Linked DNA regions of Sus scrofa. The protein of the gene in region 2 interacts with the protein of the main gene of each other region in a pairwise test. Links are inferred from orthologs where the notes say so. Each region holds a gene or a part of one and is shown on either strand. Other genes may lie near its edges.

What was found.
Region 1: the proteins of LATS2 (region 2) and MAP3K5 come close enough for resonance energy transfer, tested with the Homo sapiens proteins (2 studies listed by BioGRID, with this or other methods). The link is inferred for Sus scrofa from reciprocal best matches to the Homo sapiens genes LATS2 and MAP3K5.

The regions. Positions count from the first base shown.
Region 1 is NC_010443.5:27,371,461-27,387,328, reverse strand, and holds the start of MAP3K5 (mitogen-activated protein kinase kinase kinase 5), read right to left. Parts: upstream 7,187-15,868; 5' UTR 6,468-7,186; coding exon 6,044-6,467; intron 1-6,043. UniProt on the Homo sapiens protein: Serine/threonine kinase which acts as an essential component of the MAP kinase signal transduction pathway. Plays an important role in the cascades of cellular responses evoked by changes in the environment.
Region 2 is NC_010453.5:1,221,945-1,237,123, forward strand, and holds the end of LATS2 (serine/threonine-protein kinase LATS2), read right to left. Parts: coding exon 14,089-15,179; intron 12,629-14,088; coding exon 12,046-12,628; intron 10,687-12,045; coding exon 10,504-10,686; intron 9,436-10,503; coding exon 9,329-9,435; intron 5,579-9,328; coding exon 5,108-5,578; 3' UTR 3,579-5,107; downstream 1-3,578. UniProt on the Homo sapiens protein: Negative regulator of YAP1 in the Hippo signaling pathway that plays a pivotal role in organ size control and tumor suppression by restricting proliferation and promoting apoptosis.

The DNA.
Region 1 (15,868 bases), on a different chromosome or scaffold from region 2:
TTTGCTCTTTTGAAAATTTTGCTAAAGCTTGTTTCCTGGGCAAAGAAGCAGTGACTGGAAGTGGGAAGGGGCTGGAAAGTGGTTAAGACCAGAGGTTTTCAAATACCCCTCTCGTGACTGGTATGATAAGGTTTTCATCCATCGTGGTGAAGTGGGGAAAGTAACAACAAATAATGTGTTTTTCCAAATGTTCACTATACCAAACAGCTATTGTTTATTCTAAGGTTATACCTACCCTAATTCAACATAAAAATGTTTTTTATTTTTAAGAAATGGTGGCAGTAGCTGGCTGATTGTCAAGTTTTCTTTTTCTGTCTTTTTTTTTTTTTCTTCTCTTTTTGCCTTTTCTAGGGCTGCTCCTAGAAAAGGATCCGAGCTGAGTCTGTGACCTACACCACAGCTCATGGCAACGCCGGATCCTTAACCCACTGAGCAAGGCCAGGGAACGAACCCGCAACCTCATGGTTCCTAGTCGGATTTGTTAACCACTGAGCCACGACAGGAACTCCTTTTTCTGTCTTTATAATATCCTTACTTGGAAAATAAACCATTGACAAACATATGTCAGTCTTCTGATTTTATTACACTGGTTCATGGAACCATTTAGTTTGGGAAATACTGACTCCACCCACTCCCTCCAAGTATATAAGCTGGTGTAGAGGAAAACCACTGGATTGAAAAGCAAAAAATGCAGAAGTGGGCTGGAAGAGTCTCAGGGACTTCTCAGTCTGGGGCAGACAGGAGACAAAGGTTATGTTTGTTCATTTGTGTTTAATCAAATGAGATTGGAAGGCCTAAGGAGCTAAGCTGGAGGCAGGGGAAACCAAACCCAGAAAGTTCAGTGACGTGGCCCAAATGGGAAACTTTTATTAAGGGTCCAAGTAGAGTGAGAACATAATACAGATGAAAATGTAAAGACTAAATTCTGAAAATTTCAACCTGCACATGTTTCCTTCCTGTTACCCACTGCTGCTACTAGGTTAAAGGCTGAGCAAGAGATTGCAATCAGCAGCGAGCCTGACTAAGAGCAAGGCCAGGCCATGTAATGGTTGGGGGCAAGGAAAGGGGAAACAGGCAGCCATCCAACCCTGAGCCCCCTGAGAGGGAGCAAGGTGCCTCTGAGCAGAGCAGTGATCCTGGGTCTTACATCAGTGGGAAGTCAAGGGCCAAAGAGGTTTGGAGGAGACAAAGGTGAAAGTGCTCATGGATCCCCTGCTGGCATAGCTTCTTCCTTCACTGGGCATCCTTCTTCCTCCCGCCCTTCCCAGCAGCCTCCCAATCCTTCCTTCACCCTGTACCTCACCATCCACTCATCACTACCCATAGTCCCTCCTCTCATCACTACGCATCCAAAGTGATGCTCCTACATCCAGCCAATATGCTACCAGAGCTAATGAACACAAACGTTCCTGATTCTAACAAAGGGGAAGATGTCTTTAAAGACCTGGTTTTAGGTTGGCAGGAACATAATTTTCCTGAGTGTTTAAATAGATGAGTGGGTTTCACACTTCAAGTACACTGACTCAACAAAGATTCTTTATAGACCAGACCCAAATCTAACCACCATCTATACCAATGTTTCTAAGAAAAAGAGTGCTGGAGTTTCATGGTGGTGCAGCAGGTTAAGGATCCACCACTGGGTCACGGCTGTGGTGCAGGTTCGATCCCTGGCCCAGGAACGTTCACATGCCGTGAGCATGGTGAAAAAAATAAGAAAGATAAAGGGTGCTCCTGGTTCTAAGCAGCAATCTCAAATCATTTAGCCTGAATGAAAGAACATGATTTCTTCATGGTTCAGTTTTCTTATAAGCACAGTAGAGAAATAATAAAGCCCATTCTAGCTATACTTCACAAAATTAATGTTCATTTTTTTAAAAAAATTCTGAGATCCTGCCAGTTGGGGTTGGTCTACCTGAATGGAGTCACTCTGTATCACTAATATCTGTACCACTGACTTTTTTTGGGGGGGCACACCCCAGGCATGTGAAGGTTCCCAGGCTAGGGGTCGAATCCGAGCTACAGCTGCTGGCTTATGCCACAGCCACAGCCATGCCAGATCCAAGCTGCGTCTTCAACCTATGCCATAGCTCACGGAAACTTGGATCCTTAACCCACTGAGTGAGGTCAGGGATCGAACCTGCATCCTCATGGATATTAGTCCAATTGGTTTCTGCTGTGCCACATTGGGAACACCTCTATCTCTGACATCTGTATCACTGACACCTCTTAGCTTTTAAAGAAATTTACCACCTATAACTCAGGGGGCTGGAAAGGGGTGTTGTTAGCTTGGCAAGTGCCATCTCTGAGTGATAGTCTTGTATATGCAATACAATGAATTTCCATACAGTCTTTGATAGAACAATAGTGTCTTCTCAGAATGAGAATGAGAGAATGAAAACTGTAGTCAAAGAACAAACTCAATTATAGTTAAATGATAATCAAATAGGGAAAGTCAGTGAAAACCTTTACCTGCAACCTATTCTTTAGAAAGGTCCCAGTACACATAAATAGCAGTAAAAGTGTAACCCAGCGCTCTTACTCATTCCATTAGATTGAGCTATTCAAACACCAACATCCCCTTTTAAATGTCGAGGGCCTTGTTAGGTCCTCTTTGCTTACTGTTCTGATCTCAGGTGAGGGGTCACCTCTGAACCATCCCCAGCCAGTTTCATTCCAGAGACTATTTCCTGGAAGCTCAAAGCATTCTCTGAGGACCCTCAGAGCCAGAATTTGAATTTGTGCTTCTCAGCGACCCTGGGCTACTGGAGGTGGCAACATGATATACACAAGCAGTTCACTCATCTCTATGGACTGAATGATTCCTTTTGAAATCAGTGCTGATATTATTTTAGTTTTTCTTTTTAGGGCCACACCTGTGGCATATGGGCGTTCCGGGCTAGAGGTGGAAACAAAGCTGCAGCTGCTGCCCTACACTACAGCTGTAGAAATGCAGGATCTGAACCACAGCTTTTGGCAATGCTAGATCCCTTAACCCACTGAGAGAGGCCAGGGATCAAACCCGAATTCTCATGGACACTGGGTCGGGTTCTTAACCTGCTGAGCCACAACAGGAACTCCAGAACTGTTATAATTTTAAATTATAGAATTTGAGGGCTGGAGGGAATCTGAGAGACCAATTACTACAACCCTCCACTCTTCTCTGAGCTTTTAAATGACCTGCGCCAAATGAGAAAAGAAAAACAGGACCAGAATCTCCTATTGAAACTCCTATTTAGATGCTCTGTCCTAGCACGCCCTGCTGCCTTGCCTTGGCAAACTCACAGGATAACATGAGGGAATCTCAGAAATTTAGTTCAATTTCCCCCTCGACTTCCATCCCTGGTCGATTTTATAAGCTGCTGAAGGAGACAAGGAGCCTTGCTCATAATGACGTGGTTCAGAGCAGAACCAGGATGAAAACTCAGCCTGAACTTGAGGGACGATGTTCTTCCCACTTTAACGTAATGATTCAACTTTCAAGTGGAGGTAGGATGTAGAGCCAAGGTCAGCCTGGGGCCAAAACCTGGCTAGGCCTGTTTTTATAAGGCTTGCAAGCTGAGAATGGTTTTTACATTTTCAAAGGGGGGGAGGCAAGGGGAGAGAATATTTTGTGAATTATACGAAATTTAAATTTCAGTGTCCATTAAGAAAGTTTTATTGGAAAACTGCCATGATTATTTGTTTAGGTCCCATTTATGGCCCCTCTTGGGTAACACCTGCAGAGTTGAGGACTTGTGACAAGAGACCTCCTGCAAAGTTGAAAATAGGTACCAACTGGCCCTTTAGAGAAAAATTCGCTGAACCCTGGGAGAGGACGGAGCCAGTGCTCTCTTAGGAATCAGAAGTAAAGCTCTACTACTATCCAACTTGGCAGCCCTCAGTTTAGAAAAACAAAGGGTGTGGACAAAACTGATGCCATCTTCATTCTGTCACATCTTCAACATCTTCACGCTGAATGAGAGAGCTCAGAGTTCATGTCTGCCACATAGGCAGGCGTGAAACTGGGGCTGCCCAGGTTGAACAAACAGTGAGATGGGACCGAGCTGGCCCCCCAGAGCATGTCCTCTGCACTATTCCACATTGCACCTAGATGGCTCATAAGGTCCCTACCAGCTCTCTGTACGTCACATGATTTTTCCACGTCCCTCTCTTGATTCTGAGAATAAATCAGATCGGATAAACGGAGGAAGCAAGGTCAAAGCAGGACCTTTTAGAGTCAGACACCTGAAGTGGAATCTTGCCAGTTATTACCTATGACCCTGCACCAGTGATGAATCCCTTAGTTTTCTCATCTAAGAAGAATGGTAAGAATTTCATTGGTTTCCTCATCTAAGAAGAATGGTAAGTACTTCCTTGGTATTCCCATCTAAGAAGGATGGTATGTACGTTCTTCGTAGGCTTGTTTGGAAGATTAAATGAGATACAGTTCAAAGGTCTGGTCCCTTCTAATCTTTCTCTCTCCCTTCCCCAGAGACTGCAGTTGGAGAATAAACAGTACATAAGCTTTGATAGAAAGCTCTTTCAAATTAGCTTAGAGTTTAAGATTTTTTTTAGAGAGCCTTATAAAAATACCCAATCTATCAGTGCAATAAAAATAGGCTCAGTATCTCATTGGGCGTTTTCCTCACATATCTTTCAGTTCTTTGAAGTGTCTTCCAAATTACAATCCAAAAATAAGAGTGCCGTAATTTTTAGAAAAGCTATGTTTATCTAATTTTTATAGCAAGCCACACAAGGAACCAAGCTATAATATATGATACTCATGTCTAGTTATGAAACCCAAAATGGTAAAATATACCAGAACCAGAAAGTCCTAGTTTATTTAGTCTGGCTTCCTTAACATGAAGTTCTTCTTGTTCTTAAAATATTCGGCTTGGCTAAATTCCCAAACTGACAAAGGCTACTTCAGGTGTTTTCAAAAGACTGAAGAGAATCAGAACTGAAAACAAGATTGGAATATAAAACCTTCTATGTGATCAGACATGCAAGAACCTTATTGTTTGAAACCACTATTAAATCAAACTTTACGCCCACATGTCTTAAAAAAATACACACAGAGTCTCAACATTGGTTATACAGGGTGCTAAAGGTTAATTTCAATAACATGCTTTTAACTCTAACATTTGCTAACAAATCGCTAGAATTACAATGACACTTGCTGAAATCTGTGACAGTTGGAAAATATTTTTTTTCATGAATTATCCTAGCAATCACTTTAATGGGCACACTTTAATGGCCAATCTAATCTTTGTCATTAAAGCACCCTATCAGTGTTTTAAACAGTGTTAAATTATATACGTCCCAGCTCATCAGGGGTAATGAAAAACAGACCCCAGTTCTTTCATGGAAATCCTAACAAAGATACCACACAAGTTTAGTGTAAGTTACAAGATTGCTTTTAGAAGTCATTACTTGAAAATTCGAATTGCTAAGATACGGGAAAGCAGGCCCCTAAACTTAGGGCAGAGTTGGGAAGATCATTACATAACATGTAAATTCACATGGATCCACTCTGCCTGCAGCTGGCCGAGTGGCAGAAGTCATGATTTCTGTCCTCTCAAAAGTACACAGAAAAAAATGAGGACATCATCTAAAACAGTCATAGGTATATATAGAAGGAAAATGTGGGCCAAACCTAACATAAGAGAGACCAAAACAGTGAATCGTGACGGACTGATGGGGGCAAGTATCTCACACCGCAGAAGAACAGAAGTTCTTTGATAGGACCACGCGCACCTCCGGGCTCCAGCGCGGGCCGGGGTTGGGTCATTCAGACTCTCGCACAAAGACACACAGGCTCTTGCACCCGCATACACTCTCCCAAGCGTGGCGAACGAGCGCCCAGAGCAGGCATGCAGCGACGCTCGTTGCCCTTAAGGTGGGGCAAGAAGTAAATAAGTAGGAAGCACGATTGCTGCTCAGAAATTGTTTTTTCCTGCTGCCCCGCAAAACACATTTCTCCCCCTGTGGCAGCCGCGGGGGGGGGGGGCGAGGGGGAAATAACCCCGGACTGCAGAGGATGGGGAAGGGGTTGCACACGCACCTGCATTGTAAAAACGGTCCAGCACCGCGGTTTCCCCAAAGTCCAGTTTCCCAAAATGCAGGGTCTCCAGGGCAGCGCCCACCGCCTCGCACGCCTCCCGTAGGCACTGCAGGGCCTCACTCTCGGCCACCACCAGCTGCCCCTGGCTCGCTTCGTTGATGACATATGCCACCGTGGTCCGTCGACCGCCTCCGCCACCAGAGTTGCCCCGGCATCGGGTGGTGCTGCTCGCGGACGTGGTACTAGGACACCCGGTGCCAGGGGCGGCGGCACTCTCCACGTTCCAGAAGCTGCCCGGTGGCGGCGGTGGCAGCTGGCTCTCCTCGCCCTCGGCCACCGCCGCCGCTCCTCCCCTCCGGCAACTGCCGCCCTCGACGAAGGGTGGCACGGAGAAAGTGATGCCCTCACCCGCCTCCGCGTTCATCTCTCCCGGCCGGGTTGTCGCGGCAGCGGCGTCGCCCGCCCAGCCGCACCGTCTGGCCAGCCACAGCTCGGGGCTGCTCCGCGCGCGTCGGGCTAAGCAGCTGCCATCCCGTGTCGCGCCTTCCGCCCCGCGCCGCCGCCTCCTCTCCGGCGCCCTCTCCCCCGAAGGGACGCCGCTGCCCGGCGGCGGCTCGCCCCTCCTCGGCGCCTCCGTGGCCACGCCGCTCGCCCGCTGCAGGGTGTAGAGTACAAGGGGTGGGGAGGCCGGGTTGAGCGGGAAGGGACAGCGCTTCCTTTTCTTGGCCGGCGGACAAGTCGGCTGGCGAACCTGCGCGGCGGTGCGGCTCAAGGGCGCCGCTCTCGGGGTGCGGTGCGCCCTGGCCACCCAGAGCGCGGTCCCGGCTCCTTCCGTGCCAGCCTCTCGGGGATGGTCCGGGGAGGGCGCCCTCTGGGTGGGGAGCTACCTGGCCAGCACCTTACTGGCGGGCAGGCTCCCTGGACTGCGTCCCGGAACAGCGGCCGCGGCCGCCGAAAGGATCCGCCCCCTTCCTCGGCGGCAGCTCCCCTTCATCGGCTCTATTTCCTCCTCCTTCCCTGGCCCCGTTTCTCTGCCGATCGCCGCGGCGGCTCCGTCCCAGCACCAGCCTGGCTGCTCGAGTCTGGCCGCTCCTCGCAGCCGCTCTGCGTGTCGGCCACCGGCTTCTTGCCGCCCACTCGTCGCGGCACCGAAAGTCAGGGCCCGCCCCGGGGGAGGGCGCTGCTGGGAAGCTCGGCCCGGACGCAACCGACCGCACCACGGCTCCCGGACCTCAGCCCAGCCCCGAGCACCACGCGGGGCTAAGGTTCTCCGCCGTCACCCACCAGGACCCCACTCAAGAAGACCTAGAGTAGGCAAAATTCCGGAGCGCACGCGATAGCAGGATGGCGCAAAAGTCTCTCTTGCGAATACTCGGGAGGCATTTGCAGCGTTCCCCGTGGCCCCAGCGCCCCCTGCCGGCATCGGGTCCGCGTGCGGCGCTGCCAGGACTAGCGCAGCGCTGAGGCCCGCGTTGCGCAAGGCGGGAGGTCTAGCAGCTGGGCCTGAACTGGCAGGCGGTTTATTGGTGACAGTCGCCCTCCGGAAGTGGCCTGGTAGGTAAATTTATAGGGTCTGCGCTTAGTGCTTTTCATTTTCAAACTTTCAATAGCTCTGCTGTCATTAATGAGTAATTGATTAGCTCCAACTGCTGAACAATGTAATATTCCCATCTGGGTCTTAAAATTTCCCGCAACGCAACGCCTACTTACTTGAGATAGAAAACCTGTTCTATACTCCACTTGGCAAATCATCATCCACCAGATGTAAGTAGGAAATTAAGTGATTATTTCTATTTTTTTTTTTAAATTGCACCACAGGGGAAAAATGCCTAGATTGCTTAAGCGCAATTAAAAGAAAAAAAAAATCTACTTATTTGGGAAGCAAAAACAGATGTGTAAGTTCTCAGAGAACTTCCCCAGAATGCTATAACTTTAGGAAGACCAGTGAAAGTTACAGTGAAATAAAGCAACAGGTTTGGACTTTCCAGAGATGAATGAGTTCTATGAAAAAGGAAGAAGACTATTGCAAATTACACGCAAGCCCAGAGAAAAAGGAAGACGAAAGCAGTTGAGTAGTAAAGAGCTCAAAGAAGGAAGGAAAGAGTAGTGTGGGAAAACACCTTGCAGCTGCACAACTGTATTTGCACAATTGTCTCCTCAATGAAGCCAAATAAAGCAAAGCTTTTTCTAAAGGTTTAGAAAATGGTGGGAGTAGAGAGTTCCCACCGTGGCTCAGTGGTCACAACCCTGACTAGCATCCATGAAGATGTGGGTTGGATCCCTAGCTTCGCTCAGTGGGTTAAGGGTCCTGTGTTGGGGTGACCTGTGGTGTAGGTTGCAGACTCTTCTCAGATCCCAGGTTGCTGTGGCTGTGGCGAAGGCCAGCAGTTGTAGCTCCGATTTGACCCCGGGCCTGGGAATTTCCATATGCCCCTGGTGGGGCCCTAAAAAGACAAAAAATAAAATAAAATGAAATAAAATAAATAAAATAAAATGACGGCAGTGAATTCCTCGGAAGGCAACTGGAATCTGTGTGATCCACATCTGCTTTTGAACTTGATATCATTAGGAAAGTAGATACTTAGTGAGTCAGTGATCATATAGAAACAAAATGTTGATAGGCTTACTACTTTTAATATTTCCAACAACTTGTCAAGCCTCTAAACTTCTCTGAGAGTAGATAATCTTCCACTTCATACTGGCCCAAAACAATAAACGCAGGAAAGTCACTGGGACCACGTCTGGAAAACGAAAATGCCCAAATTCTCAAGTGGCATTTGATGACACAAATAAGGTCCAAGGTTACATATAAAGCTATATTCTAAAAACCATAACTTTTTAGACCTTGTCACTATTGCCTTGCTTACAGGTCTTTTCTGAGCAATTTTTCATATATGATTTTGTTTTACTTTGCTGGCTTTGTTTTACTTTGGATTAATTTAATAACTTTAGAGATGTCACTGATTACTGGCAGACAAACCCCAATGCAACACTGAAAGACTACTGCTCTTGGTCCCAAAGCTCTCCCACCTAAATGGCATGGTTTAGCTGATAAATCTTACACCACGTGTATTAGGTGAAACCAAGTGAAATTTCATTTTATAGCTGATAAGCAATTGAATAGTGTAGATTCAACTTACAAGCCAAATTTGGGGCCTGTGCGGAGGCAGGGGCACTATTCTGAAATCCCACCTGCCTTCAGGTTGCTGTGTATGCCTCGGGGTGTCTGTCTGGAAGGATGAAAGCCTTTTTTTAAATTTGTTTTCATTCTTTAAAGTTTTATTGCAGTATAACTGATTTACAATGTTGTAAGAATTTCTGCTATACAACAAAGTGATTCAGTTATCCATACACACATCCATTCTCTTTCAGATTCCTTTCCCACATAGGTTATCACAGAATACTGGGTAGAGTTCCCTGTGCTATACAGCAGGTCCCTGTTGGCCAATCACTCCACATACCACAGTGTGCATATGCCAATCCCAAACCCCAGTCCACATCCTCTCCACCTCCCCCACCCCTCCAACGTCTCCTCTTTGGGAACCATTTTATTTATTTGTTTGTTTGTTTTATTTGCTTTTTTTTTTTTTTTTAGGGCTGCACTCTTGGCATATGGACGTTCCCAGGCTAGGGGTCGAATCTGAGCTGTAGTTGCCAGCCCACGCCACAGCCATAGCATTGCGGGGATCTATGCCGCATCTGTGACCTACACCACAGCTCATGGCAATGCCGGATCCTTAACCCCCTGGGCGAGGCCAGAAATTGAACTGGCATCCTCATGGATTCGTTTCTGCTGAGCCACAACAGGAACTCCCATGACCATTTTAAATGGCTACAAATTCTTTGCAGCTTCTTCCATCAAGAGGTGGAGTGTCTGTCACTCTTTGACCCTGAGTTGGCCTTGTGACTTGCTTTGCCTATCTTGAGCTTTCAGGTTTCTTCTTGAAGAGGCAAAATGGTGAATTTTAAACCTGAAATGAGCACGGGTCTCCTGGTAGTAGGAGACACTCCTAGCTCCTAGCTTGCTTTTGCCTTAGCTAACAAGCTTCCTTCTTTCTCTGTAGCTTTAGACAAGTGGGATTTAATGCCATACACAAAGCAAGGTAAATATAATTTTAAATTACTAGAAATCAATAAGGAAGCCAATAAAAGAGTTATCAAGCAGCTGGGATAAATTAAGAACTCAATCAATTGAGAAATTTAGGTCTGTGTTTTGGCTGCCAAAATAAAAACACAGAAAAGGACACATATTCATATGAAGAGTCAAGTCTTAACTTGGCACTGAATTCTATAAAGGTTTATTACATAGAATTTGATATAGAGGACACTGGGCAATACAGGGCAATCAAACGTGGATTTATAAAAATTATATGTGTTCTTTAAATTTGGATTTCGTATTTTTAAAGCTAAGAACATAAAATTAAATATTAATTCAGTGAAGGCATTTCAGAGGAATCTGAAATAATTATGTCAGATATAATGCTTTCTGGTTCTATGATCTTAATTAAGAACTGAAGGGATTATACTGTTCATTGTAAGCTCACAACTTGGCATTCTGCATCGGGGAAAAAAGGAATTCAGGAACTAGAGAAGTAACATATAGCTTAGCTCTTTACCACAAATAGCAGGCTTTCCTAGAGGCTTTTGGCAAAGATTAAATCATAGTCAATGAAAGATAGAATTATAATATTGCAAAGAGTCCATGACATCTTTACACTTTAAAAAAGCAGGGCAGCAGAACTGAAGTTTGCTGATCAAAATGGTATTCTCACTCAGAGTCCATCCCACTTCCACTTAGAGACTGTCCTTGGGACACCTTTGAGAATAACTTTTGGTAGGGCAAAAAAAAAATTCCCAATAAAGAGCTAGAGAAATATAAGGGAGAGATTTCTGCATCTGATTATGACAACTTAAGTAATACTGATGAACCTTCTCACTGAAGAAGACTAAGAATGCTGGACAAAATTTAAAATAAAGGCATCAAAGAATTAATGAAATATCTGGCCAGATTCTGGAAGAAAGGCCAGGGATTCAGAGGGTGTGCCTACAGTGGAGGCTGCTTTTGGCCTGGCAATTTTGGTGGATCTGAATTAGGCAGCTGGGAGACTGAACTGCATTTTTGACAACACCTGTTAGGACAATAGAAAGGACAATGTAGTGTAGGAGTAGACTAACACTTACATGGACAGCAACCCTGTCTCTAGACACCTGATTAACCCAGAAAAAAAAAAAATTCTCAAACTCTGAAATTGGATTAAAGTAATTCCAGGCATTCAACAAACAAAATTCACCAGAGGAAGATAAGATCATCCTGGGCCATGAATTATTTTGACAAATATAAGTTCTGTGGATGGAGGCCAGCACTGGAATGCGTGGTTGGATGGTAGAGTAGAACCTGAATGGGAATCCAAGCCTGCCTGGACTTCTTTCCTGAGTTCTCCTCTCCGTTTACACCCCTGCAAGCTCCCGCCTCCAGAGACTAATCTATAAGTTAAATCAATGGGCTTCCTCGCTTCCTGTTTACCAATTGGGTTTGGGTTTGTCCCCCCAGGGAATCTGAGGAAGGTCAGCTACTGGGACTGGTGAATCCCATCAGGCTGACCATGTTGCTCAATAGGAAGTCATTGCTCTTCTCAAGGTGGCAGATCCGTACAGGGCTTAACAAAGTTTCATACTCGTCCTTCACGTTGTCCTTGGCACCTAGAAATGACGAGAGCTCTTAAGCTGCTAGTTTCAAATTCCTTCACAATCCCCTAAAGCTTCCCTATAACCTCTCCCTCCCTTTGCAGTTGGTCTTTTTGTAAATAAGTCCACCTCAAATTATCTTGTTTCCTATTGAGACTCTAATAACTCCCCAAGAGCTTTTGGAAATTAGAAAACTAATTTAATCTCTTTGAGTTTATTTCTTCATCCATAAAAGAGAGTGGTGAATTAGATTACATGGAAAATCCTTTAAAGCCCTAATGGGCTGTGTTTAAGTATTCAGTTGGGACACCAGTCCTTGTACTGAATTGAAATGGATAAAAAGTGAAAATATACTGGGTAATCAAACAGTAGATGAGGGACTGCTATCTTTTTAGAAATATTTCAGCTAATACATATAAGAAGTCAGAGGTAGCTAGAATATCACCATTTTGCAACTTAGTAAATCTGGATCCAGTTACAGATGATCAATAGTTACTAATATCACTAAAGGAAAGATAACCAGATATCTGTCATGTGACTCCTGATAGGAAAACAGATCACCAATCATGAGATAGTCACACCAAACACAGTAGGCATGAATCTCATCAAAGCCCTAGAATCCAAAGCTGAGATTCAAAAATTCCAGAAATTACAGAGGACCAAAAAGCAGAGTTACAGGTGAGTAAAATCTAAACAGTGGGCAACTCTACAAGCAAAGGGCTTGCTTTAATTTTTGCACAAATAAGTCACTACCACTGTGACTTAACTGATGCCAAGTTAATTTTCTAGTAATAACATAATCGAATATCTTAGAGATATTTCCATTTGAAAAAACAGCAAGTGCCCATCACCATGCTAACTGCTTTATATGCATATCTCACATCTCCCATCTTTATAATGAGGGACTCAGGAAGCCAGAGGAATAAGGTTACCCAGTGTCAGGCAAGGAGTTAGTAACAAGACTAGGGTTCCAACCCAGAGATTGTGCTCCTTATTGAAATGGGAAGATAAGACCATTGCATCAGAAAATGTCAGTCTGCCTTTTTTTTTTAAAAAAGATTGTGGTGGGAGCACATGAAACCAGTTAATTTAACAGCTGCATAAAGTTTTGGGTTTTTGTTTTTTTTTTTTCTTTTTATGGCCACATCTGCAGCATATGCAAGTTCCTGGGCTAAGCGTCGAATTGGAGTTGCAGCTGCCAGACTACACCACAACCACAGTAATGTCAGATCGTTAACCCACTGAGCGAGGCCAGGATCGAACCCACATCCTCATGGACAGTCTGTTGAGTTCTCAACTCAATGAACCACAACGGGAACTCCACACATAAAGTTTAAAAGAAAGGTGATGAGAAGAGAGAGTCTATCAAATTTGGAATTAAAATATTATATTAAAAGACTATTCTTGGAGTTCCCATCGTGGCAAAGCAGAAACAAATCTAACAAGTATCCATGAGGACACAGGTTTGATCCCCAGCCTCCCTCAGTAAGGTTAAGGATCCGTTGTTGCTGTGAGCTGTGCTGTAGGTCACAGACTTGGCTGGGATCCCGAGTTGCTGTGGCTGTGGTGTAGGCTGGCAGTTACAGCTCAGATTCGACTCCTAGCCTGAGAACCTCCATATGCCGAGGGTATGGCCCTAAAAAATAAATAAATAAAAGCAAAAAAATAAAAAGACTGTTCTTACTTCTTTTTCTGCAAGCTGGGTACAGTAGCTGTGTTTCCAAACTCTTCCAGCAGAAGCCAGAGAGAGCAAAATCTTGGGAAATAATTTGAGGTTAAAGTCAACAAGAATGAATGTGGCTTTGGTCTTGAAGTTTGCCATGTATTTCAGAATTGATGTCAATTTGTTTGAGTACAAAATCATGTTTCGGGATTGCTTAATTCACCAAGAAGTCTGTGCTCCTAGAAGATGACTTCAGTTCCTTTGCATATCCAATAGCTCTAACCCCCCAACACACCCCCCACCCCGACCCCGAGTAGCCACGAGGCGGATCGGATTCACCCTAGGGAATTCTACGCAACTAGAGACCCTCCCCCACCAAACTCCAACCCCAGAGGTATGATTTAAATAAGTTTAAGAACCAAACACTTTCAATATGCCTGTAAAATCTCATAATGCCTTTTGCCAAAATGCCAAAATGCCATTTTGTTATCTAGCCATCTTATGCTTGACAGTCTTTTTAGCTTTTAATTCCATACATGCTTAAATAAGGACAGACTTACTGGAGTTCAGCTACAAAAGGGCTAAGATCTTCAACAATTAAAAAGGTTATCATAAATTCCAAAGTGGATTAAAATGATCCTCCTCAGGCAAGTATAGAAATCTGTTCTGGAGTTCCCGTTGTGGCGCAGTGGTTCACGAATCCGACTAGGAACCATGAGGTTGCGGGTTCGATCCCTGCCCTTGCTCAGTGGGTTAACGATCCGGCGTTGCCGTGAGCTGTGGTGTAGGTTGCAGACGCGGCTCGGATCCCGCGTTGCTGTGGCTCTGGTGTAGGCTGGCAGCTACAGCTCCGATTCGACCCCTAGCCTGGGAAACTCCATATGCCGCGGGAGTGGCCCAAGAAATAGCAAAAAGACAAAAAAAAAAAAAAAAAAAAAAGAAATCTGTTCTACTGTTCTTCTTGCAGAAGCCTTGTAAGTGTATAACATGCCCAAATATTTTAGCATAAAAGCTCACCTTGATTTTTTTTCTAAACCATTTAAAAATAATACATTATACAAAATAATACATTATAAAAGACTTAAAATATCAGGAATTAAGTGACTTCATTGAATTAAGTACACGTTATACTGAATGACTCCTTAAAAGTTATGATGGAATCCAATCTGTTAAAATATTTAGACAAAAATATTTTTACCTGGGTTTTTTGTTGCAGACCTATATACCTTCTTCTTTTGCATCATCTTAGTCTAGCAAATATTTAAGCCTAAGTATAAATGACAAGGAGGTCCAGGAGATGGTTGAGGTAAAAGTAAAAAGAAGAAAACATACGGCTTCAAAAAACTTAGCGTAAAATTAAAATCAGATTAAAAATTTAACAGCCACATTTCAAGTCACAGCCGCCCTATGGGGCCAGTGGCCACTTTATTAGACAATATATGTGTACAACATTTCCATTGTTGCAGAAGATCTACCGAACAGTGTTATTATTGAAAGAAAGGTATTTGCCATAATACCTCGAAGGATCTGTATTCATTCCTTTGGCACTATAGAAAGCTCTAAGTATTAAACAGATAATAAAGTATGATCCTAATTGAGCTCACTCCTATCTGGAGAGATAGATGTGTGGAGAGATTGAGCTGCAGTAGAATATATACAGAAAGAGTAGGAGTAGCAGCTATTCCAGTCCAGGTAAATGGGAAGAAATGCTGGCCTGTGCAAAAGCAGGCAAAAATGTACACACATAAGATGGTATGTTGAATTCTAGAAAACCGCAGGCACTTCCAGTACCAGTACATATAAAAGAGTGCTAGGGGTAATCGTTTCATAGTAATTACAGTCAAACAGTTCAACTGCCACCACCACTATGAGCCCTCTGTTGTTGCTCATTATGAAACAGCCTGGGACCTGGGACCTGGGACCCTTTACTGCAGTGCTTTCACCTGAACAAGTGTCATCTGGAGCAACAGAATACAAAGAAACTCTAAGGGACCAAAAAATAACTGCATGCATGAGTAGTTGGGGCAAATTACAAACCAGATTTTAAAAGGCCAAAACCCAATTGCCACTTCTGAGGTGCCTGGAGCAAAAGCAGGGTACCAGACATGATCCCAGCATATGGCACCACCTAAGCCATCCCTCTGGCCTGACTCACCACTCCCCCCCTACCTTTCCTCCATTTAAGGGACCAGCTCTCCCCCCGCCCTCAGGGAGCCAGTAAGAGCATCTGTTTCTTATTTTTGCTCACTCCTGCTGCAGCATGAGTTCCAATAAAGCCTTGTCTGACTTCCTCATTTGGCCTCTTTTAAATGCCTTTTGATTAAAGAGTCTAAGAGGAGTTCCCGTCCTGGTGCAGCGGAAACGAATCTGACTAGGAACCATGAGATTGCGGGTTCAATCCCTGGCCTCGATCAGTGGGTTAAGGATCCAGCGTTGCCGTGAGCTCAGGTGTAGGTCGCAGGCGCAGCTCAGATCTG
Region 2 (15,179 bases):
CTCCATATGCTGCAAGTGCAGCCATTAAAAGAAAAAAATACAGGAGTTCCCGTTGTAGCTCAATGGTTAACAAATCCGACTAGGAACCATGAGGTTGTGGGTTTGATCCCTGGCCTTGCTCAGTGGGTTAAGGATCCGGCATTGCCGTGAACTGTGGCGTAGGTCACAGACGTGGCTCAGATCTGGTATTGCTGTAGGTCTGGTGTAGGCCGGTGGCTACAGCTCCGATTCGACCCCTAGCCTGGGAACCTCCATAGGCCGCGGGAGCGGCCCAAAGAAATAGCAAAAAAAAAAAAAAAAAAAAAAAAAAAAAAAAAACAAAAAAAAAAAAAAACCACCATTTTGTCAGCAGAATGTTTTTTCAAAATCTACACAAAAGAAAAGCACAGCTGGTGTGAGAGAAGCAGAGGTGGGGCCCCCTTGCCCTTGCAGCCTCGCAGGCACTTTGAGAAGCTACATTCAGACCCACATGAGGAAGTTCAAATGCACCCAAGGTGATACAAAGACACTTACTGGGGGTTCCCATTGTGATGCAGCAGGTGAAGAACCCAGCTGGTATCCATGAGGATGCAGGTTTGATCTCATGCCTCGCTCAGCGGGTTAAAGGAACCGGGTTGCCGTGAGCTGTGGTGCAGGTCGAAGACGTGGCTCAGATCCGGCGTTGCTGGGGCTGTGGTGGAGGCCGGCAGCTTACAGCTCAGCTTTGACCCCTAGCCTGGGAACCTCCATATGCTATCGGTGCAGCCCTACACACACACACACACACACACACACACACACACACACACACACGGTCGCTGGATGGGCTTGACTCACGGCCCAGATTCCCTGCCCACACACACACACACACACACACACACACACACACACACACATACAGTCGCTTGATGGGCTTGACTCACGGCCCGGATTCCCTGCCCAGGCTCCGTGCTTCCTGTTGTCCTTCTGCAGGACTTGGAAACAGAAGGGACGGGGGCGCCAGAGGAAGCCGATCATCTTTAGGGGCAGGAAAAATGTGGCTGCCTTTGCTCCTGCTGGTGCAGGAGTCAGGGGGAACGGGAGAGGGGTCACGGAGAGCTGAGGCGTCCTCTGGAGGAGAGGCAATGGGGGTCCTGGCTGGTGTCATTATCCCCAGGGTGGCAGGTGGGCCCATAGCAAGGGCCCAATTTGATGGCTTGGCAGGACCTGCTCCAATCACTGAGTTGGATGCTGAGGCCAGTCTGGGCTCAGCCAGAAGGTACATCGTGGTTGGTGCGTGATACGTAGAGAGGCAAGGAAGGGCTGCGGGTGGCGTGTGCTCTGGTCCCATATCTATAAGCCACTGTGATCCCTTTGGGGACACCAGTCACCAGCGTACAGAGGTGGGAAACCGGGATGTGGGGAGGGCCCGTGTGTTCAGAGCAGCAGAGGAAGAGAGCTGGGAGGCTGGATGTGCTGACTCGCTCCGGGAAGTGTGAGACACCCTAGGACAAGGCCAGCTGCCCCACCCACCCTGGCCCTGCCAGACGCTGTCAGCACCAGGCCAGTGCAGAGCCAGGGGCTCACTCCCCTGGCAGATCTGTGCTGCCAGGGCCGTGAGCCAGTGAGACACTGCCCGTGGGAATTCGACTCCGGATGTTAATGAGTTAAGATTGCAATTGAGGAGCCCCCGTTGTGGCGCAGTGAAAATGAATTCAACAAGAAACCATGAGGTTGAGGGTTCCATCCCTGGCCTCGCTCAGTGGGTTAAGGATCCGGTGTTGCCGTGAGCTGTGGTGTTGGTCACAGATGCAGCTCAGATCCTGCGTTGCTGTGGCTGTAGCTCTGATTTGACCTCTAGCCTGAAAACCTCCACATGCTGTGAGTGTGGCCCTAAAAAGCAAAAAACCAAACAAAACAAAACAAAACCCTGCAATTGAAATTAAAACCTGGAGTTCCATTCATGGGGCAGTGGAAATAAATCCAACTAGTATCCACAAGGATGTAAGTTCAATCCCTGGCCCTGCTTAGTGGGTTAAGGATCCTGCGTTGCTGTGGCTGTAGCATAGGCTGGCAGCTGCAGCTCTGATTCGACCTCTAGCCTGAGAACTTCCATGTGCCGTAGGTGCAGCCCTAAATAGATAAAAAATAGAAGGAAAAAAAAAAGAAATTGAAACCCACCTCCACTTCCAGTGAGAAGCAGCAGACAGACTTTCCCTATTCCTCCCACTGAGCACAACTAAACTCTCGGCCTGGACCAAACCAGCGCAGGACGGCGGGAGGAGGAGGAGGCAGAGACGCAGGGCTGCTGCCTGAGGGACGCCGAGGCACCAAGTGCCCTGGGTTCCTTTTGCCTCCTGTTCCAGACTTGGAGCTGAAGGGCCAGCAATCAGAACCACCAGCCTGCCCGCCCACACCCACTCTCCCTCAGGCCCGAGGGGCCCCCCACCATCCTCCCCGGCCAATCCGAGCCCCCGACATTCCCGGGGACAACATCCCAGAGCTCCAAGGGGGTAGCTAATGTTCTCGCACCCGACTGCTGATGCTGCTGCCTGCGTGCCACCCAAGGTGGAGCAGGGTAGGAAGGAGCCCCCCACATGGGGCCGGGGCCTGGTGGACAGCCGGCCAGGACTGCCCAGCCGTGACCACCTGGCTGCACTTCTCAGACCAACTCAGAGGAAAACAAACTATCGTACTTTCTAGTCCCTTAATAGCATCGAATTGCTTGACTTCTGGCTGCGCCCGCAGCATATGAAAATTCCAAGACCTGGGATCGAACCTGTGCCACAGCAGTGACCACAGCGAGTCCTGAACTGCTGAGCCACCAGGGAACTCCCCGTCAACCTTGCTAAACCAAGGGTGCGGCGCCACACCTGCCTCAGGCAAGACACCAGCTCCTGCTCAGGGTTTAGCCGACAGCCTGCTTGACTCCTCGAACATCGGCACTCGTGCCAGTGCCTTGGCGGAGGGCGGCTGGGTCACAGAACCCCCCACGCCCGACTGGGCCTGTGCTGCGATCTGAAAGCCAAACTCCCCCAGACCCTTCCTGAGGCCGCACCCTGTTCCGGTGGGGGGGGTGGCTACATGCGTGTGGGGGCGTCACAACATGCTGACAAAAGCGAGAACTTATAAATTCCAATAAAACTTGACACCAAGGGGAGTGCCTGTTGTGGTTCATTGGTTAACGAATCCCTGTAACTCGCTAAGTGTGCACAGTCAGAGAGGCTTCGGCTGCTGAGGGCCAGCACACAAGCGTGGACCGCTCTGCTTACTCTGCCAAACATCCTCTCAAAACTGGATGGTTAGGAGTTCCCGTCATGGCGCAGTGGTTAACGAATCCGACTAGGAACCAGGAGGTTGCAGGTTCGATCCCTGGCCTTGCTCCATGGGTTAAGGATCCGGCATTGCCGTGAGCTGTGGTGTAGGCTGCAGACACAGCTCAGATCCCGAGTTGCTGTGGCTGTGGTGTAGGCCAGTGGCTATGACTCCAATTCGACCCCTAGCCTGGGAACCTCCATATGCCCAGGGAGTAGCCCAAGAAACGGCAAAAACACACACACACACACAAAAAAAAAAAAAAAAAAAGAAAGAAAGAAAGAAAGAAACTTGACACCAAGGGATTTGGATGTAAAATTTTAATAATAAATTGTGCCAGTAGAAGCTTTTCAAAGGCAATGATACATCAATAAATAAGAGTTAAACCGAGTTCCTGAGAAAGAACCCACCACACGGAGCCTGTCAGAGCCTAAGTAAGAGCACGGCGAGACCGCAGCCCCGGCAGGCTGACGCCCCTGCGGGAGCACCGCGGCCCCCGACGCCGCTCTCACCACGGAAGCCGCACCCGGAGCCTCTGCCGCCGAGACGCCAAGGCACGCAGACGTGTTGGTGCCGAGATGCACACTAAGTAATGGATGTGTCATGCCAAAAACCTCAAGGAAAAATATGTGGAATAATATAAAGGAAAATAGGACGCGTCCGGTTTTTAAAAAGCAAAAAAGAGAATTTAACGTTTTACTCAAATATAAATCACTTTAAATAGGAATCATACTACTCGCAGTGGGAATATTCTGTGTTAATCTATGAGTTATGTAGACATCTACACGCCTAGGAAAGTACATATGGCTTCATCACCTTTCTTATTCCAACCGCCCTGGGAAACGTCCTTCTACAAAGATGAGAAAAACGTCATTTTTAAAACCAAGGGAAGACTGACCCTTCGAAGCACACCAGAGACAAGGTGCGGGACCCTGAGGTCACACCCCTCCGCCCGGTGACCCAGGGTCTGGGACACGGCCCCTGCGGGCGCCTGGAGGGCAGGGGGGCTCGGGCACCCTGGCTGGCAAGGCACGCGGAGGTCGGCGTCTGACCTGGGCTTTCTTGGCGGAGCTAAGTTCATCCCTTTTGACGAAGGCAAGGTTCGTGGAGGACAAACGTCTACGCCTGCCCCCAAAGAGTCCAGTCGCACCCACGACACAGTCACACCACTTCACAGACACGCGCGCGTTTCCGCAGCGAGACAGGAGGAAGCCGGCCCAGGCCGGCTCCGGCCCAGGCGCCGGGGAAGGACGTGTTCACAGAACCCGCTGTGAACGGCAAGACTCGATCACGTCCCAACAGGACAAGCCTGTCCCTGCAGCCCTGCGCCGAAGCTGCCACCTGGAATCGCACCAGCCGGCTCCCCTGCCCACACTTCCTATCGCACCACAATATGCAAAAAGCACAGAGGACAAAACAACAGAAGCAGCTTGCAACGTTCTATCACAACTTTGAAATGTGGGAAAAATATAAAGCAGAAACAACTGTGCGAATAAAATGGCATCAGTTACATCACAACAGTGTTATCTCTTTTTTTTTTACATTATTGCACAGATTTCTTATCACATGATGTTCAGCTTTGATGTCTTTCCCTAAATGTGAATAAGTGCTGTGGATAAAATACAAACGTAGAAAATAACAGCAGCATGATTTGTCAAAACCAATCCCTATAATTTAGTTAGAAAAATGGCTATTAAACAAAATAAGTGCTCTTTCTAAACTGTACTAATTCTTTAAAATATCATTTTAATGCAGTGAAGGTCCTCTAAGCCGACTCGAACCCCGTGGGTCCCGGGCCGCCGTCCTGGCGGCCGGGGGCTCAGCGCACCGGGCGCTACACGTACACGGGCTGGCAGCCCCCTGACGACGCCCCCGGCGGCTCCGCCTCGGCCTCGGCCCCCGCGGGCTTCGGGCAGCGGAAGGGGTAGCCGTTGTCGTCAAAGAACCGCCGGAAGGTGAACTCGTAGAAGGCGTGCTCGGGGTGCCGGCCGCCCGGCGGGCCCAGCGCGTCCCAGGCCCTGCTGCCGTCCTCGCTGCCGTCCTGCCAGGGCCCGTCCTCATCCACGGGGTCAAAGTTGGACGTGTCCATGGGGTGGCTGATGGTGGGCACGTAGGGGGCCGGCTGCCTCCGGATGTCGCTGGAGAAGTCCACGGGGCCCAGGAACGGGTGGGCCTTCAGGTCGTCGGCCCCGTTGCGGCCCAGGCGACGCTCGGCCGCGCAGCACAGCTTGGCGATGAGGTCCCGGGCCTCGGGGCTCAGCTCCACCTGCGCCGGGATGTGCAGCGTGCTCTCCCAGTTAATCACCTGCGGGGACAGCACACCGGTTTTCCTCCCCCTCACCCCGGCTGACGGCGGCCGGCCCGGGACAGCGTGAGAGCATGTGATCTCAACGGCCCTCGATATTCGAGAAACACAAAGAGCACAACGAGCCATCGCCCCACGCGGGTCAGAATGGCCATCAGCAAAACGACCACGAGTACCAAGTGTTGGTGAGCACATGGAGACACGGGAGCCCTCGTGCCCTGCTGGTGGGAAGGTCCACTGTGCAGCCAGACTGCAAACAGAACGGACGGTCCTCAAACAGCTCAAAACAGGGCAACTGTATGAGCCTGCAGAACCGCTCCCGGCATCCGGAAGAGACAAAACCTCGATTCTGAAAAGATCCGTGCACCGCTACTTTCACGATAGCCAAGACGTGGCAGCCACCTAAGTGTCCACCCACAGAGGAAGGGCTTAAGAAGAGGAATGGAATACCACGCAGCCATAAAAAAGAATGAAACAATCCCACTCGAAGTAACCTAGATGAACCTAGGGACTGATTATCATCCTTAGTGAAGTCAGTTCAGACAAAGACAAGTACCACATTGTACCACTGCTACGTGCAATCTAGAAAAACATAATAAAATGAACTTACGAAACAGAACCAGACTCACAGACATGCAACAAGGACCTACTGAAGAGCACAGGGAACTGCCCCATGTCTTGTAATAACCTGAGACAGCACAGAACCTGGAAACACCACACAACTGAATCACTCTGTGTACACGTGAAACAAACACATACCATAAACCAACTACACGTCAATCTAAAAATTTTTAATATCAAAGTAAGACTTTGATAGTTTCCCTTCGGGAAAAGAGAAGAGACAGAGAAGGACGTGAACAGCTAATGGCCCGCGTGGTTTTAGCGGGAGGCCCACAGCCTGAGGAACGGGGTGCGAGAGACACCCTCGGTTCCCGACGCTCAAGCACACAGAGCAGCCTGGGTCACGGTCAGGTTCCCTGTGAAGAGGACGCCTCGGGGACTTCTTTTTGTTCCTTCCCGGCTGCACACGCAGCATGTGGCAGTTCCTGGGCCAGGGGGTCACCCCTGCGCCTCGGCAGCGAGCCCAGCCACAGCAGGGACAGCGCCAGATCCTTCATCTGCTGCGCCACAAGGGAACTCCGAAAACGTTGTTTTTCTTTTCTAAGGGACTTCCTGTTTACACCCGGAGTCAGGATGAACCAAGGCCACATGAGTGGGGTGGCGCGAGGGTGGAGCGGGGGTACGAGGGATGGTTGGAACCTGAGTAGTTGTTTACTGGAGCTGAAGTTATAAAACTCAGAGAAGAAAACAGAGAGGAGGATCTCCACGATGGTGGATCTGGCCCTGATTTCTTGGATATGACACCAAAAGCACAGGCAATAAAACACAAAACACATAACGGACTCAACAAAATTTCAACTTTGTACACATCAAAATCAGCAGAGCGAAAAGGCAACCCATGGAGGGGGAGACTGATGCCCAGTGTAGATGTGACACAGGATTAACGTCAGGAATACAAGAAGAACTCAACAACAAACCCCCAAACCACCTGATCAAAAAAGGGCAAAGGAGGAGTTCCTGCAGTGGCAGAGCAGAAACAAATCTGGCCAGGAACCATGAGGCTGTGGTTCGATCCCTGGCCTCGCCCAATGGGTTAAGGATCCGGCGTTGCCCTGAGCTGTGGTGGAGGTCGCAGATGCAGATTGGATCTGGCATTGCTGTGGCTGCAGGCTGGGACCCCTAACCCGGGAACTTGCATGTGCTGCAAGTGCGGCCCTAAAAAGCAAAAAAAAAAAAAAAAGACAAAGAAAGAAGTGGGGGGTGGGGCCAAGGACTTGAAGAGACCTTTCTCTCAGAAATGAGCACGAAGCACAGGAAGAGACGTTCAGCATCCCTGAACACAACGGACACGCAACTCAAAACTGCCAGGAGATACCATCTCACACGCACCAGAAAGGCTACTACTAAAAAAAGAGGAAAATAAATGTGGGCACGGATGCGGAGAAGCAGGGACTCCGCTCCCTGTCGGAGGGAACGTCAAATGGTGGAAACAGCACGCAGGTTCCTCAGAAGGTTCCAGGTGGAATAACCGCGGACCCAGCAAGCCCGTCCTGGGCATCGACCCAGACACACTGGGAGACAGCAGGGACCAGGCAGGCACCTTCAGGTTCACGGCAGCCCTGTTCACAAGGGCAGGGGACACACAGCCTGAACGGCCACCACCGGACGATGGGCAGACAAAGTGGAACGTTACTTACACACAGTGGGGTACCGTTCAGCCTAGAAAGGAAATCCGGACACAGGCGACAGCAGGGCTGAACTGAGTGAAACGAGCCAGCTACGGAGGCCAGAGCTGCACGGTGCCACGTATACCAGGGCCCAGCCACAGAGGCCAGAGCTGCACGGTGCCACGTATACCAGGGCCCAGCCACGGAGGCCAGAGCTGCATGGTGCCACATATATCGGGGCCCGGAGGAGGCCACTTCATGGCAGCAGAAGCAGCAGAGAGGCTCCGGGGCCCCAGGGCCACCGCTGAGTGGGTCAGCTTCTGCCTGGGATGATGGAAACATCGGGAAACGGGCAGTGGTGACAGCTGCACACCTTTCTGAACAGACTTAATGCAACTGAACTGTACACTTAAAAGGGGTTTCCATGCCAAGTGTCGGCACATTTATGCACCAGGTTATCATCATGCAGGCAAATCAGTCACTGGTTTAGCAGTTCGATGAAGATACAGACACTGCCAAACTCCAACTTATGATCACTGTAATAAAACCAAGCCTTAATTTAAGGTTTTCCTAACCAAGAGGTTACTGATTTAGGGTCTCCCGTGGACTGAGGGGCATGTGAAAACGTTCTAGGACTGTCAGGGAGCAGGTGGGAGCGCGGTTCTCAGAAGTTCCAGAGACGTCAACGAGGCTCCCGTCCCGCCTTCGAGGCCATCCAACCATTCACTTCGGAGAGTAAAGGGCCCCTGTGCTAAAACTATTTAGCACTAAGTTGTTACGTGACAGAGAGATTTTACTTACTTGAAATGAACATGAGAAACATGCAGAGCTAGCCTGACCACACAGCTGACAACCTGCCAGCGGCAACCAGGTAACACCCAACATCCAAAGCAACACAGCGACTTGCTCGGGCACCGCTCTGAGCTCTGAGCTCTGCTGGGTCTCGCTCGGCCGCCCCAGACCTGCAGCCTTCCTGCTTCTCTGTTCCCAATCCCCACCTGGAGATACCAAGACGGCAGGGGACCACGGTCCCGTAATACCTCAAGTCAAAACCTGGGTCTGACTCTGTGCCTTTACTTATTAAAACACTTTAACTAAGTAGTAATAATAGTATGTGTGTGTGTTTGTGTGTGTGTTTGTCTTTTAGGGCCACTCCCGTGGTGTATGCAGGTTCCCAGGCTAGGGGTCAAAGCGGAACTGCAGCCGCCGGCCTCCACCACAGCCACAGCAACGCCGGATCCAAGCCGCATCTGTGACTTACACCACAGCTCATGGCAATGCCGGATCCTTAACCCACTGAGCGACGCCAGGGATGGAACCTGCATCCTCACGGATACTAGTCGGGTTCATTAACCACTGGAGCCACGATGGGACCTCCCCACAACAATACTTTTGAAAACTCCCGTTACACACAGGGACAAGGGACAGCACTACACCACTGGGGATAAAAGGTGGATGTCGGCAAAGACCGCCCGGCTCATCAGGCAGCCCCACGGGGCAGCCCCGACTCCCGCTCCGTTACCTTCAGCTGGGTCTCCGTGGGAGTCGGGGCCAGGAAGGGCGGCTGCCCCACCAGCATCTCGAAGAGAATCACGCCGACACTCCACCAGTCGCAGAGCTGGGTGTACCCTGAAAGACAGAGTCGGGCTCCTGAGGGGCACAGGCCCGGATGCGTCCTGATTTTCCACCATCAGCCTGTGACAAGCACCGTATGTGCTCTCATGGCGACAGACTAATTTAAAAAGACTACTGTTACTGTTGGTAACAATACCGACCAGAAGTCCAAGTTCTTGAAGAACCAAACACGAAGTACACACGAGGAACGAAGCGGCAATTCTGTGACCCGGTCGGGGCGGTGCCGAGCGCTTCCCGGGGAGGTCTCGGGACCTCGGCGGCGCCCCCGGCAGGTGGGGTGGGAGCAAGGAGGGGACCCCGCGGAGCTCCCACGCCCGGGACTCAGCCAGGGCAGCCTCTGGAAGGCCTTGGGGCAGGCTGGTCTTCCTCTGATTTTGTCCCATGTCCCAACACAAGCCCCGCTCCAACCTTGCCGTGCCCAAATTCTTGCCAAAGGTGCACTGCAGTCCCTGCCCAGGGGACTCCTCTGGGCTGCGCCGAGGGCTGGGGGGACAGGGTGGCCGCCTGAGGGCCAGCACCTCCCGCCTCCCACCTTTCCTGGGCAGCGAGGTGAACACTCCCCACAGCCTCTCAAGGCAGCCGCAGTTACAGTGAGGCTGGCAGGCGGGCAGCTACCAGGGGACACAGGTGGGGGCCCTGTCGGCTGGCTCCAGTGACCTGGGTCACAGCTCCCTGAGTGCATCCCCCGGAATCAAACCCACAAATGCAGCCGCTGATAGCACATGACCAACGATCAGCTTCCTCCTGCGCCCGGCCAGGCGGGGCACAGGGTCCCCACATCCTGCCACCTTCCAGGCGCTTGGGGAGGCATCGGAGGAAGTGACCCTCGCCCACGCTGACCAGGGAAGGCAGTGCCTCCCAGCCGGAGCCTGGGACCCTGGTGCCCCTGGCACGCACTCTGTCCACACCAGCTCTGGGGCGGCTCCTCTGGGCTTGGGGGCAAAGGGCAGCCCCACCCTCAGGGCCACACACCAGGGCCACATGCTGAGAACACACTCTCAGCCCCGCAGGAACCCGGAGGGCGACTCAGGCTGAGCACTGGAGCCGGGGGCACACACGCACCTTTCCGGAGGAGCACTTCCGGGGCGATGTAATTCGGGGTCCCCACCAGGGAGTGCGCCAGACACCGCTGGTGCTGCCTCCGGGCCCTCTGCTCCAGGGTCTTGAGCCGGTCCCCACACCGACAGTTGGACACGTCGTCCCAGAGGTCGCTGGGCTCCATGCTGTCCTGCCGGGTGTGGCTCCCTGTGACCCGGGGCGCAGGGCGGGGGAAAGAGGAGGAAAAGCAAGGTGAACCTTCGCTCTTCAACACGCAAGAGACCCCCAGTTTCAAAGGTCAAAGTTTTCCAAGGCAGCGCCCGACACAGCGAGAGAAGGAGTCCTCCCGCCAGCTCCGCGGGGCGGCTGTGGTTCCGGGCCTCAGATCCAAGCCGTGGGCGGTGGCGGCAGGGGCTGCGCCCGGCGCCGGGCGGCCTGCATGGGGCGCTGTTCGAGGCTGGCGACAAAGGTGCTGTGACTGGGGGATGGCGTTCCCAGCATGCTCAGGCCCACCTCTGAGGCTACGTTTTACGACAGGCACGGAAAACCAGGAAAAGATTAAGAAAATACGAACATTGGAGCTCCCATTGTGGTGCAGCAGAAAAGAATCTGACTGGGAACCATAGGGTTGTGGGTTCGATCGCTGGCCTCGCTCAGTGGGTTGGGGATCTGGCGTTGCCGTGAGCTGGGGTGTAGGTCGCAGATGCAGCTCAGATCTGGCGTTGCTGTGGCTGTAGCTCCGATTGAACCCCTAGCCTGGGAACCTACCTCCATACGCAGCAAGTGCAGCCCTAAAAAGCAAAGAAAAAAAAAAAAAAAAAAAAAAAAAACTAAAAAAAGGGAAACATGAACATAAATGAGTCCAGTGCCAAAAGACAAGCATGAATTAAATGATTTAGGATTAATTTTGAGTTAAAAAATGGAAGCCTGAGCTATAGCATTAAAATAACTATTTCAAAAATTCATACCATAAATAAGAGTTGCCATCATGGCTCAGTGGATATGAATCTTACTAGTATCCATGAGGATATTGGTTCAATCCCTGGCCTCGCTCTGTGGGTTAAGGATCTGGCGTTGCCATGAGCTGTGGTGTAGGCCAGTGGCTACAGCTCTGATTCGACCCCTGGCCTGGGACCCTCCATGTGCCACAGGTGTGGCCCTAAAAAGACAAAAAACAAAAACAACAACAACTCATACCATAACTAAGACAACAACCAGCTGTTTCTGACGTTTCCAAACAGCAGAGCTGCCAGAGGTAAAGGTCACTGGGTGCACAGCGCGGTCTACACCTGCAGCAGGCCAAGGCTGGCCGAGAGCGAGAGCTCCTTGGGAGGCCATGAGGCTTATTTTTGAAGGCTTGTTTTAACAGGCAGAGAGACGCTTCCTGCGCAAAGCCCAAAGACACCCCATGGCCTGCCGTCCTAACAACATCCCCGTAAGACTTGAGGCCACTAACGTAACACGGCAACCTCCAGTCGGGCTGCCTTTCCAGGGAGAAGAGGGTGTCGCAGCAGCGGAAAAGCACGGGCGGGGGGCGGGGGGGGGTGGCGCTGGCCCGGGCTGTACCTTTCTGGTAGTATTTGGAATTGTGAGTCCACCTGAAGCCCGTGCAGAGGCCGAAGTCGGTCAGCTTGATGTGCCCGTCCAGGTCGATCAGGATGTTGTCCGGCTTGATGTCGCGGTGGATGAAGCCCATCCTGTGGACACTCTCGATGGCCAGCGTCAGCTCGGCGATGTAGAAGCGGGCCAGGGGCTCCGGGAAGACCTCCATGCGGATCAGCAGGCTCATCATGTCCCCGCCCGGGATGTAGTCCATGACGAAGTACAGGCTGTCCTTGTCCTGGAAGGAGTAGTAGAGCTTCACCACCCACTCGTTGTCCGCCTCCGCCAGGATGTCCCTCTCGGCCTTGACGTGGGCCACCTGGTTGCGGCTGAGCACGTCCTTCTTCCTGAGGGTCTTCATGGCGTACAGGGCGTGCGTGTCCACCTTGCAGGCCAGGCACACCTCCCCGAAGGCGCCCACGCCCAGCGTCTTGATTTTCACGAACATGGACTTGTCCATCCTGGCCCTCTTGAGCCGGTTGTAGTTGGACTCCTTCTGGTAGAGGATCTTCCGCATCTGCTCCTGCTCGGCCTCGCAGAGGCCGGCCTGTGCAGAAGGAGACAGGGTCACCCCGGAGGACACGGCGGGGACGGGGCCCCGGAAGGGGCAGGACCCCCCTCCAGCCCGTGGAAGGAGGGAAGCGACGGAAGGGCCGAGCACCAGAGCCAACCAACCACGTCTCGCTCCTGCCGGCCACGCAGAGCCACAGCGTGGAGGCGGAGGGAGACACCCTAGGGAGCGCTTGTTCTGGTGACTTTAGGTAAAGGTCACTGGGTGCACAGCTAAATGTAACTTCTGTTAATGACGTTCCTGGAACTCTAAGAGCAACGGATAACTGAACGGCTCAGGGAAAGATGGTAAAACAACAAGAAAAAAGCCAGTGAAAATAGGACAGCAGGAAGAGCATACATTTTACTTCCCCAATTTTAAGTTCTCACCTGTGTGATCAACATTTACCGTAATCTTTTAATTTAAATAACTTCATTAATAATTACTTGCTCCAACGGTTACTGTCAATTAGGGTATATTTCAAACATTACTGGCTAGGAGTTCCCATCCTGGCACAGTGGAAAAGAATCTAAGAACCATGAGGTTGCGGGTTTGATCCCTGCCCTTGCTCTGTGGGTTAAGGATCCGGTGTTGCCGTGAGCTGTGGTGTAGGTCACAGACGTGGCTCTGATCCTGCGTTGCTGTGGCTGTGGTGTGGGCCGGCGGCTACAGCTCCGATTAGACCCCTAGCCTGGGAACCTCCATATGCCATGGATGTGGCCCTAAAAAGATAAAAGACAAAAAAAGAAAAAAAAAATTACTGGCTAATCATAGATGTAATTAAGAAATAGAACAGAGTTCCCACTGTGGCACAGAGGGTTAAGGATCAGGCATTGCCACAGCTGCAGCTGGAATTCAATCCCTAGCTCGGGAATTTCCATCTGCCATGGCTTCGGCTGTTTAAAAAAAAAAAAAAAAAAAAAAAAGGAGTTCCCGTCGTGGCTCAGTGGTTAATGAATCCGACTAGGAACCATGAGGTTGCGGGTTCAGTCCCTGCCCTTGCTCAGTGGGTTAAGGATCCGGTGTTGCCGTGAGCTGTGGTGTAGGTCGCAGATGCGGCTCGGATTGGACCCCTAGCCTGGGAACCTCCATATGCCGCAGCAGCAGCCCAAAAAATAGCAAAAAGACAACAACAACAACAAAATTTTTAAAAAAAATTTTTAAATAAGAAAATGACTCACTAGCAGATGTTTTTCTTTATACATCCCACAATTTCAATTGATAAAGCTTCGAACTTTGTTTTACTCTTTGCGAATGTCCCACCACTAGTTAGTTACCGCGACTGAATTTGCTCCTGAGCAAGGACACACCAGAAGAACCAGCGCACAAGCCCCTGCAGGCACAGCAGGCGCAGCCGGTCGTCTCCGGCTGTCCCCAAAGCCAGACGCCCAGCCTGGGAGACGCTGGGCTGTGAGGCCCGTCAGCCGCGCAGGCAGGGGCAGGCCCGCGGGACTCACCTTGGCCATCTCCTGCTCCAGCTGCAGCCTGCGGGCCACCTTCTGCTGGTAGGTCTTCAGCACGTTCTCCACGTGCTGCTCCATGAAGAACTTGAAAGCGGAGGGCGAGTAGCTCTTGATGCGGGAGCCCGCCTTCTCTGCATCGCGGCTGCCCCTCCGCACGGGCACCGGCGACGTCTGGATCTGCTTTCCGTCCTTGCCCGGCTTCTCCGCTTTGCGACTGCTCGCGGGGGGCTCCGTGGCCGGGCCCCCCCGGAGGCCCTGCTCCACCCCCGCGCACAGGCTGTCCACGTCCACGTCGTAGGGCCGGTGCCGGGGGTAGGGCGGGGGCCGGCACCTCGCCTCGGCGCCCAGCTCCGCGTCCAGAGGGTAGGCGGCCCCCAGGGGCAGGGGGTGCTCGTCCTGGGAGTCCAGGCTCTCCACGCCGGGGCTGGGCGCCGGCACCCAGGCCGGGTGGGAGGGCCCCACGGCCGTCTGCGGCTCGGGCCTCAGCACCCGCACACTCTTGACCGGGTGCAGGATGTGGGCGGCGGTCACGGCCGTGATGGTGTTGGGGGAGGCCACGGCCGCCGGCTGCTGGTGGCTGTTGAAGGAGCTGGTCCTGCTGGGGGCCGGGCCGTCGGCCAGGAAGGCCACGTGCTGCCGGGGCGGCGCCTCCAGGCCCGGCTTCTGCAGAGAGTCGCGCCGGGACAGGGAGGAGCCCGGCCACTGCTGCGCGCCCGCGCCCGGCTCGTGCAGGTCCACGTTGAGGCTGTTCCTGCAGGGAGCGAGCAGGCCGGGCGGGGCGCCATCGCCCGCAAACACGGGGCCTCTCGGGCTGCCCGCGTGCACCTGCAGGGCCTGCTTGTGGTGTGGGTGCGGTGCATACACAGGCGCCGGCGAGAAGGTGTGGCCGGCCCCGGGCTGCACGGCTGCGCCCTTGGCTGCCAGGTTTGCGTACCCGCCAGCCTCAGGTGGAGTCTTGCTTTGGAAGGAGGAGCTGCGCTGGACGCCGTAGCCCCGGGGCTCCCCGGATCCCAGCAGGTGTGGCCTGTAGTGCTGGCCCTGCAGCGGGGGCGCTGGGCCGCCTGGGAGGCTCACCCCGGAAGCCT